2 linked regions of the Caenorhabditis elegans genome follow. The protein of the gene in region 1 interacts with the protein of each later gene in a pairwise test. Each region holds a gene or a part of one and is shown in the gene's direction. Other genes may lie near its edges.

Region 1 (7,344 bases):
ACGGATTCCTCGTTTCCCTCGTAAATTTAAATCGAAGAGTTTTCCAAACTAGGCCGTTTTGGCTCGGCCACATCTGTGGTAGATTTACGGCGCGTTGCGTGTCGCGTCGCGGCTCGATTTTAGTTGTAAAACTAAGAGCATTTATCCGGGTGGAGTATACACGACTTTGCCCGGCGGACGATTGTCAATAGAGCGCGAAAAATTCAATGAGGAAGGCCAGAACCCCGCGCAAAAATTGTCGAATATCCCCCCATCGAAAACAACACAGGGCGTGGCTTAGCTGTTTTGGTACCGCTCCACCGCTTCACGACCCGCCCATTTTAGAGTAAGTGTTCCCTCCCGTTGGCCCTCTTTTTGCCTTTTCTGACTCACTTACCACCGTGTATATAAGGTGTGCACGGTTTTTGATAAAATATGAGTCAGCGCATTGTCGATTTCTCCCCGTTTTTATTGATTTTTTTAATAGCGGTTCATTTTGTCGTGAGAATTAGTTCTTGTAAACCTTGGCACGGGCCTTCCTCATTGAAAATTTTGCGCTCCATTGGCAATCGCCCGCCGGACAATGCGTGGGAAAGTCGTGAATACATTCAGTTTTACAACTAAAATCGAGCCGCGACGCGCCATAAATCTACCCCAGATATGGCCGAGCCAAAATGGCCTAGTTCGGCAAACTCTTCCATTTCCATTTTTTCGAGTTCCAACATTGTCGGTTTCGATAATCTTCCTTCCTTCTCCACCGTCGTCCGTCGTCAATGCATTATTTCTAATGCCGCACCGACGCATTGCGCACACCACCAGTCGGTCGTCCACCACCACACTGACTGCAGCAGCCAGCCAGCAACTGAAACAGCAGTATTCAGGCATGGGCGCTCTGGCGGGAGAAATAGAGAAATTGAGCATCATCGAGAGAGAGAGGGAGTGCGACGAATGAAATTGCACACACACACGCGCACACTCTGCTTAAACGGGCATCATTTCATGTGCCTGGGCAATAGAAACAACCGATGTTTCATTTTTCCTGAAAAATGCTTCTTCGTTGTTTTTACCGACTTTCTGAGCCGCTTCGTTAGAAAACCTCGAAACCCCCCGAGATTTCCGCCAAATATTTGTCCAGCGTTCGTATAGATATTTGAGGAGGCTCGAGAGATCCAACAAATTGAGAAACGAAGGTGTAACGAGAAAAAAAACAGAGTCTGTTTGCTAAATCATGTGATTCATTGATTTTTCAACTCGTCAAATAGGTTTTCGCAACTATTTTTCCATATTCTCGTGATTTATCATTCTGTAAAAACATTTCTTAGGTCTCTTTTGATTGTTTATTCCCTTTTCCTGGTTTCCCATTATAGGTTAAAACCTGAAAACCCTTGCGCCGGGTCGGATTATGCTTTAGTTTTCACCGCCGCTCCGTTTCGCGCGCGCGCTTATATAATCCCCTTGTACAGCAGCCCTTTTTCGTATTAATGTTCCATATCGAAAATGCGCTCCGCTGAGAATTGGTCGGCTTTTTTTGTTGTTGACGCGGTGTCTGCTGATGTTCTTTCGGACGTATGATGAGATGAAGGAAGAACTAGTTTTTGTGTTCAGACTTCTTCATTGACGAACACGTCTCCGTTCTTTTCTTGTTGCGGTGGTGGTGGTGGTCGTCGCAGATGAATAAGACGTTGGCCGTTTTCGCTACACCCCCCCCCCCCCCCCTCCCCATCCCCCAATTTCAACTTCTCGTTTTGCGTGCAAAACAAGAGGAAATTGAAGTATTGTGGGGATAATTCGATAACCAGAACACGCACACACACTGACCCCTATCTTCTCTCTTTTTTGTTGTTTCATTTCTTTTCCTTCCGCAAGACGTCTCGGCCATCAGAGTTTTCCGATTATTATGTGTAATGGAATATCCGCAGGGGATCTTTGATCTACCCACTGGAAATTTGTTTTTTTTTGGTGGATTTTTGACAGAAATCACGCGCTCTCCTCAAAGCCGAATAATTTTCTACGTTTCGCATTTCTGCATCCGCGGTGTTTTGCCTTTCCACACGTTGTGTCAGAGTGTCTCATTCCGGCTTGATCTACAAAGATCTACAAAAAATGCGGGAGAAGAGACAACAGAGTTCTCAACTGATTTTGCATTGTTAAGAACGTGCTGACATCACATTTATTGGGCAAAATTCCCGCATTTTTTGTAGATCAAACCGTAATGGGACAGCCCAGCCTGGCACCACGTGTTTCCACTGAAAGTAGATGTTTTTTTTTCAGCATTTCACGGACAAACCTATTGCTAGACAGTGAACATCGAAATTAAAATGACTAAAATGAACTTTTTTCGTCTACTGGTTGTGAAAAGGTTTGAAATTGAAAAAATCAACGAGATTTTTCTTATTTTCTAAATATTTTCCTATTAAAAATTGATTTTAATCCATTTGTGACCTTACTTTAGAGTCAAAAGTGGTTTAAAACCGATTTTCGATAGAAAAATAGATTCAGAAAATAACAAAAAAAAATATCCCGCTGATTTTTTCAACTTTTTCTCAACCAGTGGACGAAAAAAGTTGATTTTCGTCATTTTGGTTTGTTCCTAAGATTCAATAAATCTGATTTTTTCAGTGGACAGGCAAAAACATCGCGGATGCAGAAACGCAAAGCGCGTAGCAAGCGCGCTCTAATAATAATTCGGCTTTGAGGAGAGTGAAATCGCTAAATATTTCCAATTCGACAAAATCAACCTTTGATTTCGTCTCCTTCTCTCTTCATTTCGAAATATAAAATTTGTACCTATCGTTGGCTTATCAGTCAGTAAATTCTCTCTAGTTCTTCTCTATTTTCTCTCTTTTCTCTCTTTTTTCGATTATTCTCTCCGATTTTTTCTCTCTCGTCACCGTTTCACCCACCGGTATTCATCATTGTTTACGTCGTTCCGCTCGCTTTCAAACAATTTATATTGATTTTAATTAATTAATTAATTATCCTTTTTCATTTTTCAGGGTTTTCTAACAACACCCCCTGCACAGCGAAAGCAAGATGGCCGATCAACTGACCGAGGAGCAAATTGCCGGTACTTTTTTAAATTCTGATTGATGGACGGAGGACCGGGAGATTGAAGAAATCTAATCCTCTCTCATTTCGAAGCGAATTGAGCAGAAACCAAGCGGCGCGGCGTAGAAATTTAAATTTAATGGATGAAACATTAGCCGTAGCAGCAGATGTATAGCGCCACTATTTTTGTGTGTTTTATTCCAGATGTTGGCTGGTTCTCGCGGCGAAAAATCTATCAACAATTGTATAAAAAACTACAAAATTCGAGAAAAAACCAAATCAATTTTGCCAAATTTTCAGAGTTCAAGGAGGCATTCAGTTTGTTCGACAAGGACGGCGATGGCACAATCACCACCAAGGAATTGGGAACTGTTATGCGGTCTTTGGGACAAAATCCGACTGAAGCCGAGCTTCAGGACATGATCAACGAAGTGGACGCTGACGGAAACGGAACCATCGATTTCCCAGAGTTCTTGACGATGATGGCCCGCAAGATGAAGGACACGGACAGTGAGGAGGAGATTCGTGAGGCGTTCCGAGTAAGAGATTTGTGGAAATTTATAAATTCATTTTTGATTCACTATAGAGAAGCCTCATGTAGTATAGAAAATCTCATTCAAATCTTCCTATTTGCAGGTTTTCGACAAGGACGGAAATGGCTTCATCTCGGCCGCTGAACTGCGCCACGTCATGACCAACTTGGGAGAGAAGCTAACGGACGAAGAGGTCGACGAGATGATCCGTGAAGCCGATATCGACGGAGATGGACAAGTCAATTATGAGGGTGAGTCCTTACAAGACCTTTTTTTTTCGAAATTTCATCAAATTTCCCATATTTCAGAGTTCGTCACCATGATGACAACCAAGTAAATCACACCAATCGGGATCTGAAGCCGCCGTATCGTTTGCGAATCACCAACACCTTTTCTCTCACCTTTCGTTTTTTTATTCTTCCCCGCTTGAAAATTGTGATTTCGCTCTCGAGCCCCAAAAAAAAATTGCCAAGCCCAGTCAAAAAATGCTATAAATGATGTAATTTATGTTCAAATTTAAGTTTTTTTGCCTCTTTTTTGACAGACGTGCTCTCAACCTAATTTTGTTTTTTTCTTAGAATGTGAAACTCATTTATAAGTCATTTTTTTCTTATTTCCTCTTTACAATGATTGAGTTTCTTCTTCTCCTGCCCCTGCCCCCAAATTAAAAAGTCCCGGATCCTCCAGTTCTTGGTCGCCTGCCCCGGCTTGACCCTTCCTCAAAATAATGCCTCCAACCTGTAAAACCCCATAAAAAAATTTAAAAAACTTAAAAAAAACCGCTGGCTTCTTCTTTTCCCACTTGGTATTTTTCTCATATTTTCTCTTCTTCCAAATTGTTCTTCCCAAAAAATGTATTCCAAACTCGAAAATCTTTCTTTCCTCTCTCTTTCCCCCTCAACCATTTATAGAAAGTGTAGAAAATTCCCTCTTTTCGCACCACACACACACCGTCACACGGGCCATTTTAAAATTGTACCTGAAATATTTTCTGTTGCTTTGAATTTCGATTTCGACAAGCAACGGCAAAAAATTTTGGCGCCTAGTGAACACTTTTTGCACCATTGCTTTCTTTTTTTTTGTTTTGGATTTTTTCTTTGAAAATTCCTATTTTATATTATTGTAAAAGTCAAAGTCTCCAAAATCCTTTAATAATTTAATTCCATTCTTCCCAACCAACCCACCACCACCACCGTCTCTATAATCTCTGAACAATTCAAATTTTTATCTCTGATTATCTCGCTTCTCTCGTCCCTTGATGCGAACTTATTCAACAAAAAAAAAAGAAAATCTTCAAATGAAACTTGATTTTTTTTGAATGCTTTGGGGTTTTTCAATCAAAAAGTCAATTTAAAAATTAAAAAGAACAATTTTATTTTTTTGAAAAAAAACTTCTCACATCATCGAAATAGGTGCTCCGACGGTGGACATTTGAAGTTGATCGGCTTGCTGCTGATTATCGACGACAAAGACGGAAAGGTTCACATTTTTTTGCCGGAAAAAATCGATTATAATGAAGCCGAGTTGTCGTCTGAAAATTGAAAAAGTTGAAAAGCGGCAGGCTCCACCCCCAAACGTTGGGTCTCGTTAGGTATTGACGGCAAACATGATGATTCAATATTAAAGGACCACAAAACACTGCTACTGCGTATCGCACAACATATTTGACGCGCAGAATATCTCGCAGCGAAGTCTACAGTAACCCCTTAAATTACTACTGTTACTACTGTTACTACTGTGTCGATTTACGGGCTCGATTTTCGAAATGAATTTATTTTCGAATAGTAGTGACAGTTTTTTTTGCATTATTTGATAAATTTCAATATTTTAGCAATAAATAAATTATTCATTTCAAAAATCGAGCCCGTAAATCGGCACAAGCACTACAGTAGTCATTTAAAGGATTACTGTAGTTTTCGCTAGGAGATATTTTGCCAATTTTGTGCAAAAGTAATATGAATTTTATCTTTCCCATTTCGACATAAAATTAATTTTTTGGTGACAGGATGTCCCATCGCCCCAAAGGCGAGAATTTTTTTTTGAAAATTTGTGACGTCACAGCGCATTTCGAATAATTTTTTTTCAATTTAAACGGCGATTTTTGTCGAATTGGAGTATTTCACTGAAATTCTAAAAATTTTACAAGTTAAGTGGAGAAACTGAAACAAATTGAAAAATTAAAAAAAATAATTTCACCAAAATTAACTCTTAAGTTGCAAAAACAATTATTAGGTGACGTCACAAACTTTCAAAAAAATTATTCGCACCTTTAGTGTGCAGTGTGCAGCGATGGGACAGCCTGACACCGATGGAAAAATGTACGAATTTACAGCTTTGCCGCCAATACCAAGCGAGACCCAAGGTTTAGAGGCGGAGTCGTTTCATACTTAGCAGTAGCGCGCAATTACAAGCGTCCACATTATCCTTGCACGGATTTCTGGCTTCCCTCATAAATTGAAATGGAAGAGTTTGCCGAACTAGGCCATTTTGGCTCGGCCAAATCTGAGGTAGATTTACGGCGCGTTGCGTGTCGCGTTGCGGCTCGATTTTAGTTGGAAAACTAAATGTATTTGTCCGTGTGGATTACACGACTTTCCCACGTGTCCGGCGGGCGATTGACAATGGAGCGCGAAAAATTCAATGAGGAAAGCCAGAACTCCGTGTATTTGCAAAAGAAACCTCAAACCTGTAAGCTCTAAAATTGACAAAAATTGTGAGAGACGTTGTCAATGTAATCGTAATACATCCAAACGAAGCCGGTAACGCACGGACACCAAGATCCCATTTCAGAAGAGACGTAATTGTGAGCACAAAGTGTGGAATGGAAATTGATATGAGATTCTGAAGAGCAATTGATAGGAGGGTTCTATTGATGTTCGCCGAGTCGTGATATCCCATATCGATGAACTCGTTGGAAACGTTCCGAATCGATTTCATATAAAATTTATGAAAAACCAGACTAACGATAAAGCAAGTAATGTAGGGGATGGTAAATGTGAAAACTAGCAACGAGAAACTCTGAAACTGAACATTTTAATTTTTCTTAAGGTACATATATTTTTTAACCATTTTTAATTCACATGTGAATTTAATTAATAAACTTTAAAAACAAATGAATTACTAAAAATTTAAATCAACGATTCTTCCTGCAAACCGGCAAAGAACCGATTTGCAGGAAAAAACGGCAATTTGCCGGCATTGAAAAATTTTACAAACCGGCACATTGCCGATTTGCAGGAATAACAGCGATTGCCGAATTGTTGGCAAATTTTCCGGCAAATTGGCAAACCGGCAAAATACCGGAATCGAAAATTTCCGGCAAACCGGCAAAATACAGGAATTGAAAAATTTCCGGCAAATCGGCAAACCGGCAAAAAGCCGGAATAGAGAATTTCCGGCAAATCAGCGAACCGGCACATTGTCGAAATTGAAGATATCCGGAAAATCGGCAAACCGCCAATTTGCCGATTTGCAGAGTTTCCTATGGATGTACCTTTTTTTTAAATTTTATGTTCCAAATATATTCAAAACTCAAAAAAAATCATTTTTTGCAAATTTTACATTTTTATCTCACAAATTCACTTACCCAATCAACCACAAAATATGAAAAGTCGTGACCGCTCAGTTTCATGACAACATCTCGATGTGACACTTCGGAATAAGACTCGATTTTCTGGTTTGGCGTGAAAAAGATCAGGTATATCTCTAAGGTTATAGGTAGAAATAAACTTATTGCAAAGAATAATTTTCGTATTGTTTTATAGTGAAGAGTCATACACGAGAT
Region 2 (8,548 bases), on another chromosome or scaffold:
GGAAAATCAAATAACGACTAGAAAATAATTAAAATAAAAAGAAATGACTAAAGATCCGGCGAGAATTGTTGATTTGTGTCTAACACGAGTCCATCTTTCACTTCAATTATGGACTTATTTTCGCGGGAATATTGAAATTTCGGGCTTTTTCCATAAATCCATTTCCAGGCTTTCAACTCATCAAAGATTTTCGATATTTCTGCATTTTTCTTCACTTCCTCTGCAACATTCACAGTTTTTATATGTGATTCTTCGAACAGTTTTCTGAAATTTTTTAATGATTGGAAGTTTTTAGTTGCTCCGTTCACCTATAAGCTTCAACAATGGCTAATTTTGATTGTTCGACATTTGCATTGGCATCATCTTGTTTCAGAAATCCAACAGCCGGAGCTCTTACGCTTCTTGTAGCATTTGATTCGATTTTATCTCTCCATGGAGATTTCAAAGATTTTGATAATACTTGAAGATCCGCACCGACGAGGAGTGTTAGATGGTGATAGGCTTGACCTCTTAAATTATTCACATAACAAGTGTTTAAAATATTTTTTTTAAAAATACCGCGCAATTCTTGCAGCTGTTCCTGAGCATTTCCGTTCTCCTGGATGTAGTTCCATGTCATCACGCTTGTTTGGAACGATTTTAACAGAAAATTGTTGATTTAGAGCATCCGAAATGAACTGGAAATAATAAAATGATATTTTTATTATTTTGAAAAATGATATTAATACCTTCAAGTTTTTTGGCCGACAGTGTTGTGCGTGTGTTGTTAAAAGTGAAATATTCAGATTTCCTAGATCATGATAAACAGTGCCTCCTCCACTGTGCCTTCGGACAATTTGAATATTATTTTTGTTAGCATATGGTATGTTGACTTCAATCCACGGATTTTGATGTCTTCCGATGACTACAGCCGGTCGATTACTCCACATGAGCAGGATTTCCCCGTTTTGAGCGACATTGTGAGTCTGAAATCAAAAACTATAGCAAAGGCACTGAAATTACTGCTGAACTGACCCTGAAAATATGCTCCTCATACGCAAGATTTTCGAAAATGCAGCTTGACGTGGATTTCAGAACTGTGGACAATTTTCCGCGTGATATAGAACACATTTAACAAGAAAAATAAATTAGGAAAAGGTAAGAAAACTGTTTATTTGCAAGATTTGAGAAGAAGAGATTGCTAGCATTAAGGAGACGCAGACATTCAGTAATTGCGCTCCATTTATGACATTGTGGCGCGAGCGTTCAAAACATAAATTTTACTTTTTTTTCATTGATTTTTGTTTGATCTAAATTTCCGAAAGCTACCTGAAAACTGTTTAACGCTTTTCTACTATAAAATCGTCACCTTAAAATCTTTTTTAAAATATAATTTTTGTGTGAATTATAAAAATGCACAGTAGCAGTTTAAAGGCACACTTCTTAGTTCAAAGAAATGGTCTTATCACGATTACAGTACCCAACCTGAACGCGGCGCGAATTCCGGATTTATCCCCAAAACGTTTTTTTCCTCCGTTTTAGGTGGCCATTTGTACCGCGTCCAAAACGCGTAAAAGTCCCCAAATTGTCTTCTTTGTTCGACAATTGCACTGAAAACTGACAAAAAACTAACAACATCGGGACTTTTTCGCGTTTTGGACTCGGCATTGAAACTAATATCGCTGTGTCTTCCTTCCTGATTTATTCGTCTTTATTTTTTGTATTTTTCAGAATCAAAATGGATAATAACGTTGAGGATAAAAAAGAGGCAATGCTCAAACGATTAGCAAATCGACACGGTAACAAGATATTTATACTTTATCTCATTATTTATTTTCTTCCTCTTTCAGAGAAACGCCTTCTTGATCAAGTCAAATCGAACACAAAGAAGATCGATTTGAGAGCAACCGAGCGAGCCTTTTTGGAGTCGAGTCCGACTTCAATGAATATGCGAACTCCTCTCAATCCTTCAATCAGCTCTTCTGTATCAGATTCCCCGATTCTATCATATGATGAGAAAGCCAACAAGCAAATTATTGCACTCGCCACGTGGTGCAACACAATGATGGAATTGGATGTGTCTGAAGAGATGGATCTAGGAGAGTCGAAAGCAGAAGCCTGCAGAAATATCCAAAAAATGTTGAAGAAAAGATCAGATACGTCAGAAGTGGAAAATACACAGGAAAATGCACGCAGGAGATATCAACGGATTTTTGAGAAAAATGATCCAGAAGTTGTGAAGAAAAAGTGCAAGCAGCTTCTAGACGATTCAGGAATGGATGCAAGCATCAAGGATCTTCTGTCCAAAAACAACGTCGCAATCCGAAAAGAACATGCCGTATATAATGACATAGGCCTCCAAACAACTCTTCTTCACACATTTCTATCATTCCATCCTGCTTGGCTGAAAACTGCTCTTGAAGCAATCTTTAACACGAGAATTGACGCTCAACCGAAGCATTTAATGAAAAAACTTTCTCAGTTTTTCCTCGATCTAGTTTTCTCAAATCCGACGATGCTAAAGAACAAGAAATTTGCACAAGGTTCTGGAAAGTAAGTTGCTGATTTCAGAGGATGAACGAGTTCGTTAAAATTATGCCTAATCAAATTTTTGCAGACCGATCATCACTGAGGCTGGCAAAGAAGCTCTACACAAGCATTTTCTGTCCGTCTCGATGAAGCTGATGTTCTTGATTGAAACGGCACACACTCATCGAGTTATCCCGAATCTGACGAGAATCTTCACGAAGTCCTCTCATTTCAATTGTCTCGACGATGTGTTCTCCGAACTGACGAAGGAATTGTTGACTGGAAGCTCTGCTACTTTCAAAAAAGCGTTTGCAAAAGTCGGTTTTATTCCGACTTACCGACAATCATTCATTGAAAATTACGACTACCAAGCGAAAGGATTTTCAGATTTCTCGGATGGTCTAATTTTGGCGTGAGTTTCTAGAAAGATTTCTTATAAATTACACGAGCTTTTCCTCATTCAACAACAAATGTTATCACTGTCCCTATTTCCACCGATCATAACCTATTTTTCAGAAAGCTGTTGGAAACTGTCGGAGAGATGCCGCATGGTCAAATTCTGTTGAAGTTACGTGATCCAGCAGGCGACCGCATCCGCAAAATTGGAAACGTGAAGATTGTACTCCAGGAGATGTCTTCTTTGGGTGTTCCAACGGATAATGTTAACGCCGAATCAATCGTTGGCGGAAAGAAAGACGAGATTTTGTCTATTTTGTGGGCTATTATCGGAGTTCGTGTGGCCAAGGAACAAAGAATCAAGGTGACGAGAGTTTCTGAAGAAAGAACTCCGAAAAAGCGGCGATCTGCTGTCCACGATGACATGTCTTCTGAAGTATTAAAAATGTGCAAGATTTACGGAAGACAGATGGAAATCGAAGTCATGGACTTGGATTCACTCTCCGATGGGTGCCTTCTGGCCAAGTTGTGGACCACTTTCGGAACAAATTCAACACCGATTCAGGACTATGATGGACTCAGTCTGTGGGAGAAAGTTGTTTCAGTTGCCGAGTTGGAGCTTTGTATTCAGCGAGGACTTGATCAGAACATGGCTCTTTTCGTAAAAATGTTTCTGGAACGACTGGGTATGATTCAAGATCTAAATGAGAAAGCGACCAAGATTCAACGAATGTGGAAGGCCTACGTGCAAAGAAAGGTATTCATCAAAAAATAAAGTTATTTATATTATAATTCACTTTCAGAATACTCCCAAGCTGTATTTCATTGTACAACAACTTCTTGCCGACTCATCAATTCCTCGAAACCGAAGTGTTTCTCCATTCTCTAATAATGTCACTTTCACAGTACCGAGGACTCCACGGAATAATATTCTGACTGAAAGACCATCTCTATCACAAATCCCATCGTCTCGCCAATCAATGGATTCTACCTTCAACGATGCGACGTTTACTGTTTCACGTGATTCAATTGAAAGCATGAACAAGATGCAGAAAACTCCACTGAGAGGTACATTCACAAGAAAAACAATTGCGATGGTTATCGAGGAAGAGGATGATTCGGAAAATAACGAAACGGTCGTACCAAGTACATTGAAAAAGAGAACCGTTGTCAGAATGGAGCACAATGCGGAAGTATTCAGAGAACAAGATGAAGATGATGAAAACCAAGACAAAGACACTGTTGCTCCTTCCGCTGAGAACTTGGATAGTCCACCTTCAGACATCCCATTAGAAACTCTTTCTTCTATTCCTTCCGCTTCCCAATCTGCCATATTTCTTCAAGACTCTGAAACTGGCAAAGAGATGCATGTCCCTAAAGCTGAAGATGTCGGCGTCGTAGTTCTTGAAGCATCAGATTCTCCGGTTGCACTAGAAGGGAACAATGAAGCAAGCTATGATGGTCAGAAAATTGAGAACTTAGAAACTTTTGAAATCAAAGAGGGCAAGACGCAAGAAGATCTACCTTCAAAATCTCCTATGGATCCTACGCAGACAAGCGGAAGCCCATTGGTTGAATTCAGAATGACAGAAGAACAGGAGCGTTTAGAGATGCTTTTCCAGTCATTATCAGAAGATCAGAAGAACTTCGTCAAGACGAATAACCTTAGTGTGTCTATTGAGGACGATGCCAACACTCCTGAACTTAGAAGGATCTTGAGACAAACCAGAGAACTCAAGAGAAAGCAACAGGAAATTGTGAGTCTATATCAAGTTTGACAGATTATTTAATGGTGGACTCAACAGTCAAAAAACGAAACATTTTTTGCTTTAAATGAGAGAACAGATCATAATGACCACATATAACTGTAAAAAATTGAACATTTTTCTAAATTTTTTAATGGGTTTTTTAAAAATTTTGTAACAATAAAAGAAGCGACTGATAAGGCCCGCCGAGATATTCGTTTTCCTGGAAAATTTGAATGGATTTTCTTTTCTCATCTGGCGTCTCAAATGGAAGCACAAAAAAATCCGAGAAAAACCAGTAAAATTAGCTGTAAAAACGGATATCTCTAAAAAGTGGTCAGGGCCTGGTTAAAAATGGTTAAAAGTTTCAGGCGAGAAAACTGGGAAACATCGAGAGAAATGCGTTAGCTGTTCGTGATGGCGGGGAGGATTCGTCCGACAGTAGATCAGATGCTGGGCACGATGTTGCTATCCTTCACGGTGACGACAGTCAACTCTTCGAAAATTCAATGCAATTGGATCAGAAATCTCAATTGCAAAATGATGAGACTCAAATTCTTGAGAATAAAAAGAAGGCAGCTGTTGTCATTCAGAAAATGATACGTGGTTTCATTGCACGGCGTAAATTCCAAATGGAAATTAGCAATATTCGCAATCGCATGATCCAATACAATCACATATTGGCGCAAGAAGACGAGCAAATTGGTATAGAAGAAATGGAGGATAAATCAGTCGAGGCAAAGTGAGAACTCTTTTTTTTTTAAATATATTTAAAAAAATTGATTTTCAGGCTAAAGAAATGCGCTCTTCATGGACTCACAAATGATAACCTTCACGTCGTTCATGTTGCTGCAACTGTCATCGGTATGTCGCAAATGAAAATTACGAAGAAGCTGCTTTTTGATCTGAAAGTCATAGAAACCAAAAGTTTATGAATATGCCGCCATGGATGATTTTCTTCGTCAATTGCAAAACCATACAACACATAGAAATGTTCATATTTTGCAGACCGAGTCACCGATCTTGTTCCATCACTTTTGGAAAAGCTTGTCGTCGAACTGAATGGCATCAAGTCGATCACTGATGTTTTGATTGTGGCGGATCGAGGATTCTCTTATACGAGCATTCTTCATCCATTATTGAATGTTCTCGAAAAATTATTCACGAAGATTCCCGAAGAAGTCACCAATTCGCATATTCTCCCTCACTTGAAGATTTTGTCGCCTCGCTTGATGCTACTGATGCTGAAGCACTCGGAAGTCAAGGAATTGTTTATTCCTATCATTAACACCTTGACTTCAATTGCTAGAAGATTCCCAGACAAAAAGCAATCGAGTTTTTCTTCATCAAGCTACTCAATCAAGCAGTCGCTCAAAAAAGTCAAGGATCAGGAGTGTCGGAATAAATTGGTCAGATTGGAAAGCATATGCGAAGATATGCTCTAAATTAGTCTCTGTTAAATATTAAATTCATCCCACCGTTTTGTGTATCATATCGTGAAAAAATACACACGGTTTAATTATTTTTATGTGAATATTTACCAATAAGATCAGTCAACCTGATGCTTATTTGGATTTTTTGGTATTTCATATTTGTTTCTTAAAGTCTGTTGTGAAGTAAAAACTTGATTTTAAATACTACCGTTTTTTTTAGAGTATGATGAATTTAGCTACTTTTAGAAATTCAAGAAGTCTGCTATTTTTCTCTGTTCCCTCTTTAAAATTTTTGAGTTTTGCACTTGTTGCGTAGCAGATGGCTCATCCGATTTGCAAATAGTTACTCGTCTTACTCTCCGTTCGCATTACACAGTAACCCTCCGACCATCTTTTTCTGCTCTTTTTTGTACTTTGTCACGTCATTCGGCTCCTGCTCCGCCTACTCAAAATTTTTATGGTTTTTTTCGAAAGTTTGAGAGAAGTAGTACTCGTTTTTCCGAATTTTTAAAATATTGTTCATTAGTTTTTATTAATTCCAGCTATATGCAGTGCCGGCCAAAAGTTGGTGATTTTTCAACAACAAAAAAAAATCAAAAGTAGCTACTTAAGTAGTAATTTTAAAAAACTTACCAGACAGGATTTTCATTATAACTTTGTCTAGATTTTGCTTTCCTCTGGAAAAAAAGTTGAAGCGGCTGACATCTACAGGAATAGATTTGTATATGTTCTCTTGCAACACATGTTTTTGAATTCTAAAGGCGCGTATGGGTCTCGCCACGTGGGAAACGAGTTTCTGTAACTCATGTCGGTTTACGGGTCACTAAAAGTTGTATCATCATTTTCAAAAATAGAAATTACTGACAAGATTTATTTAGAAAAAATAATTGTGCAATAGCGGCCCGTACATTAATACGAGTTACAGTAACCCGTTGTTCGAATGGCGAGACCATTGCACGTCTACGTAATAACAATTTGGCAGCAATTTAGACAATATTATCAATGTTTTGTCTTTACACAGTTTTTTAATTATTAGTTTTTGAGGTATTGTTTGGTTGAAAAATCACGAGAATAAGTCAAAGACGCATATAATTTGGCCGATATTGTGCTCGCATTTTCCCGATTTTCGTATTCAAGAAAATGGTCAGAAGATCATTTGGAATAGAAGTAGAAAATCTTCAAAATTTTTCTTTTTCTTTTATTTTATTCTATACAAATAGACACTTGAACTAATATAATAAGTACTTAACAGAAGTAGAACTCTTTTCAACTTGGCCCCCTCTCTGTAATATGTCTGACAATGTTGGTCCAAGAGAATTGTCAAATGCATTCAAATATCTTCTTGCCTATCAATTAGATTCGTAAGTTTTTTTTTCACAAAATGGAAAATTGATAGTTATGGATAGATCTCTGAAAAAAAACATCTTAAAATAGTAGATAATACTTTCCACCCAATTTTTTTGAATTCATAAACTTATAAAGGCATATTAGTAGCTTTTGTAAAATGTGTTCGAGAAGTTATTTATTCAATAAAAATGTGTAAAAAACGGTAAACCATTTAGATACCAAAAAAACCAGATCTTGCCATTTTTCTTCTAAAAGACACGACAAAAATTAGGTATTGTCAAGTGTGGGTTACTGTATCTGGATGTTTCTCTCTCTCGGGTATGACCTTTTGTCCAATCATGGAAAGTTCACCAAACTTATTCTGGAGTTATGCATAATTTATTTGTAATATTAAAACTTCAGGAGAGTCATGGTAATAAACTTAAAGTAGAAGAGTTCAAAATTCTCTTCAAAAAAAGTGTTTAGAAACCAGTAAGAACCCTTTCAAACTCTACATTTCTTCCTTCTAAACCCCGCTGTAATCCTTCTGTGATCAATTTTTCAAAATGACTACAAGTGACATAACTGCCAGTTTTAAGGCACACTTTTCTGCAATCTTCCGGAAGAAGATGTTCGAGACTTATTTGTTCTTTCAAATCGACTGGCCAATATCATTTATACAATTTAATGTGGAACGTCGCCTATAAGAAAATTGTTTGAAACCAATTAATTCGTTGCTAAAATGTAAAAAGCTTTGAAAGATATTTTTATTTGCAGTCGAAAAGTGGAAATTTTTTTACCAATAAATTTCCGTCAAAATTTAGCGATTCACCAATACTTTGACAGAAATTTTTGAACGACCTAAAGTTTTTTGAAGCGTTTAATTATTTTTTAAAGTCATGTTGGAGTGTATTTGTAGCACATATCCCGGAGTACTTTTTGGGGTACACAATTTATATTTCTCGATATATAACTATGCAACACAAATAGAGTACCTAATCAATTGAAGATCAATTGATATATATGCCATATTCGGGAAGTGTGTGTGAATCTCTGAGTCTCTCAAATCCAAATGATATTTCTCATTTCATAATATATTTTCTCATTATCTTGTTGTCATTATCCACTATCTTCATAATC

The links. The genes of interacting proteins can lie anywhere in the genome.
Region 2: the proteins of cmd-1 (region 1) and aspm-1 interact in a two-hybrid assay, tested with the Caenorhabditis elegans proteins (2 studies listed by BioGRID).

Annotation. Positions count from the first base shown.
Region 1 is NC_003283.11:1,153,296-1,160,639, forward strand, and holds cmd-1 (Calmodulin), read left to right. Parts: upstream 1-2,975; 5' UTR 2,976-3,012; coding exon 3,013-3,046; intron 3,047-3,327; coding exon 3,328-3,566; intron 3,567-3,663; coding exon 3,664-3,811; intron 3,812-3,868; coding exon 3,869-3,897; 3' UTR 3,898-4,894; downstream 4,895-7,344. Other genes in the region: T21H3.5 (Serpentine Receptor, class H), read right to left, coding at 4,956-5,091, 6,247-6,578, 7,147-7,344. UniProt on the Caenorhabditis elegans protein: Calmodulin mediates the control of a large number of enzymes, ion channels and other proteins by Ca(2+). Among the enzymes to be stimulated by the calmodulin-Ca(2+) complex are a number of protein kinases and phosphatases.
Region 2 is NC_003279.8:9,219,553-9,228,100, reverse strand, and holds aspm-1 (Calponin-homology (CH) domain-containing protein), read left to right. Parts: upstream 1-1,710; 5' UTR 1,711-1,717; coding exon 1,718-1,778; intron 1,779-1,829; coding exon 1,830-2,532; intron 2,533-2,596; coding exon 2,597-2,920; intron 2,921-3,024; coding exon 3,025-3,661; intron 3,662-3,707; coding exon 3,708-4,661; intron 4,662-5,020; coding exon 5,021-5,391; intron 5,392-5,439; coding exon 5,440-5,513; intron 5,514-5,657; coding exon 5,658-6,094; 3' UTR 6,095-6,351; downstream 6,352-8,548. Other genes in the region: lipt-1 (BPL/LPL catalytic domain-containing protein), read right to left, coding at 48-264, 309-509, 559-677, 729-965, 1,015-1,110; lim-9 (Protein espinas), read left to right, coding at 7,373-7,443.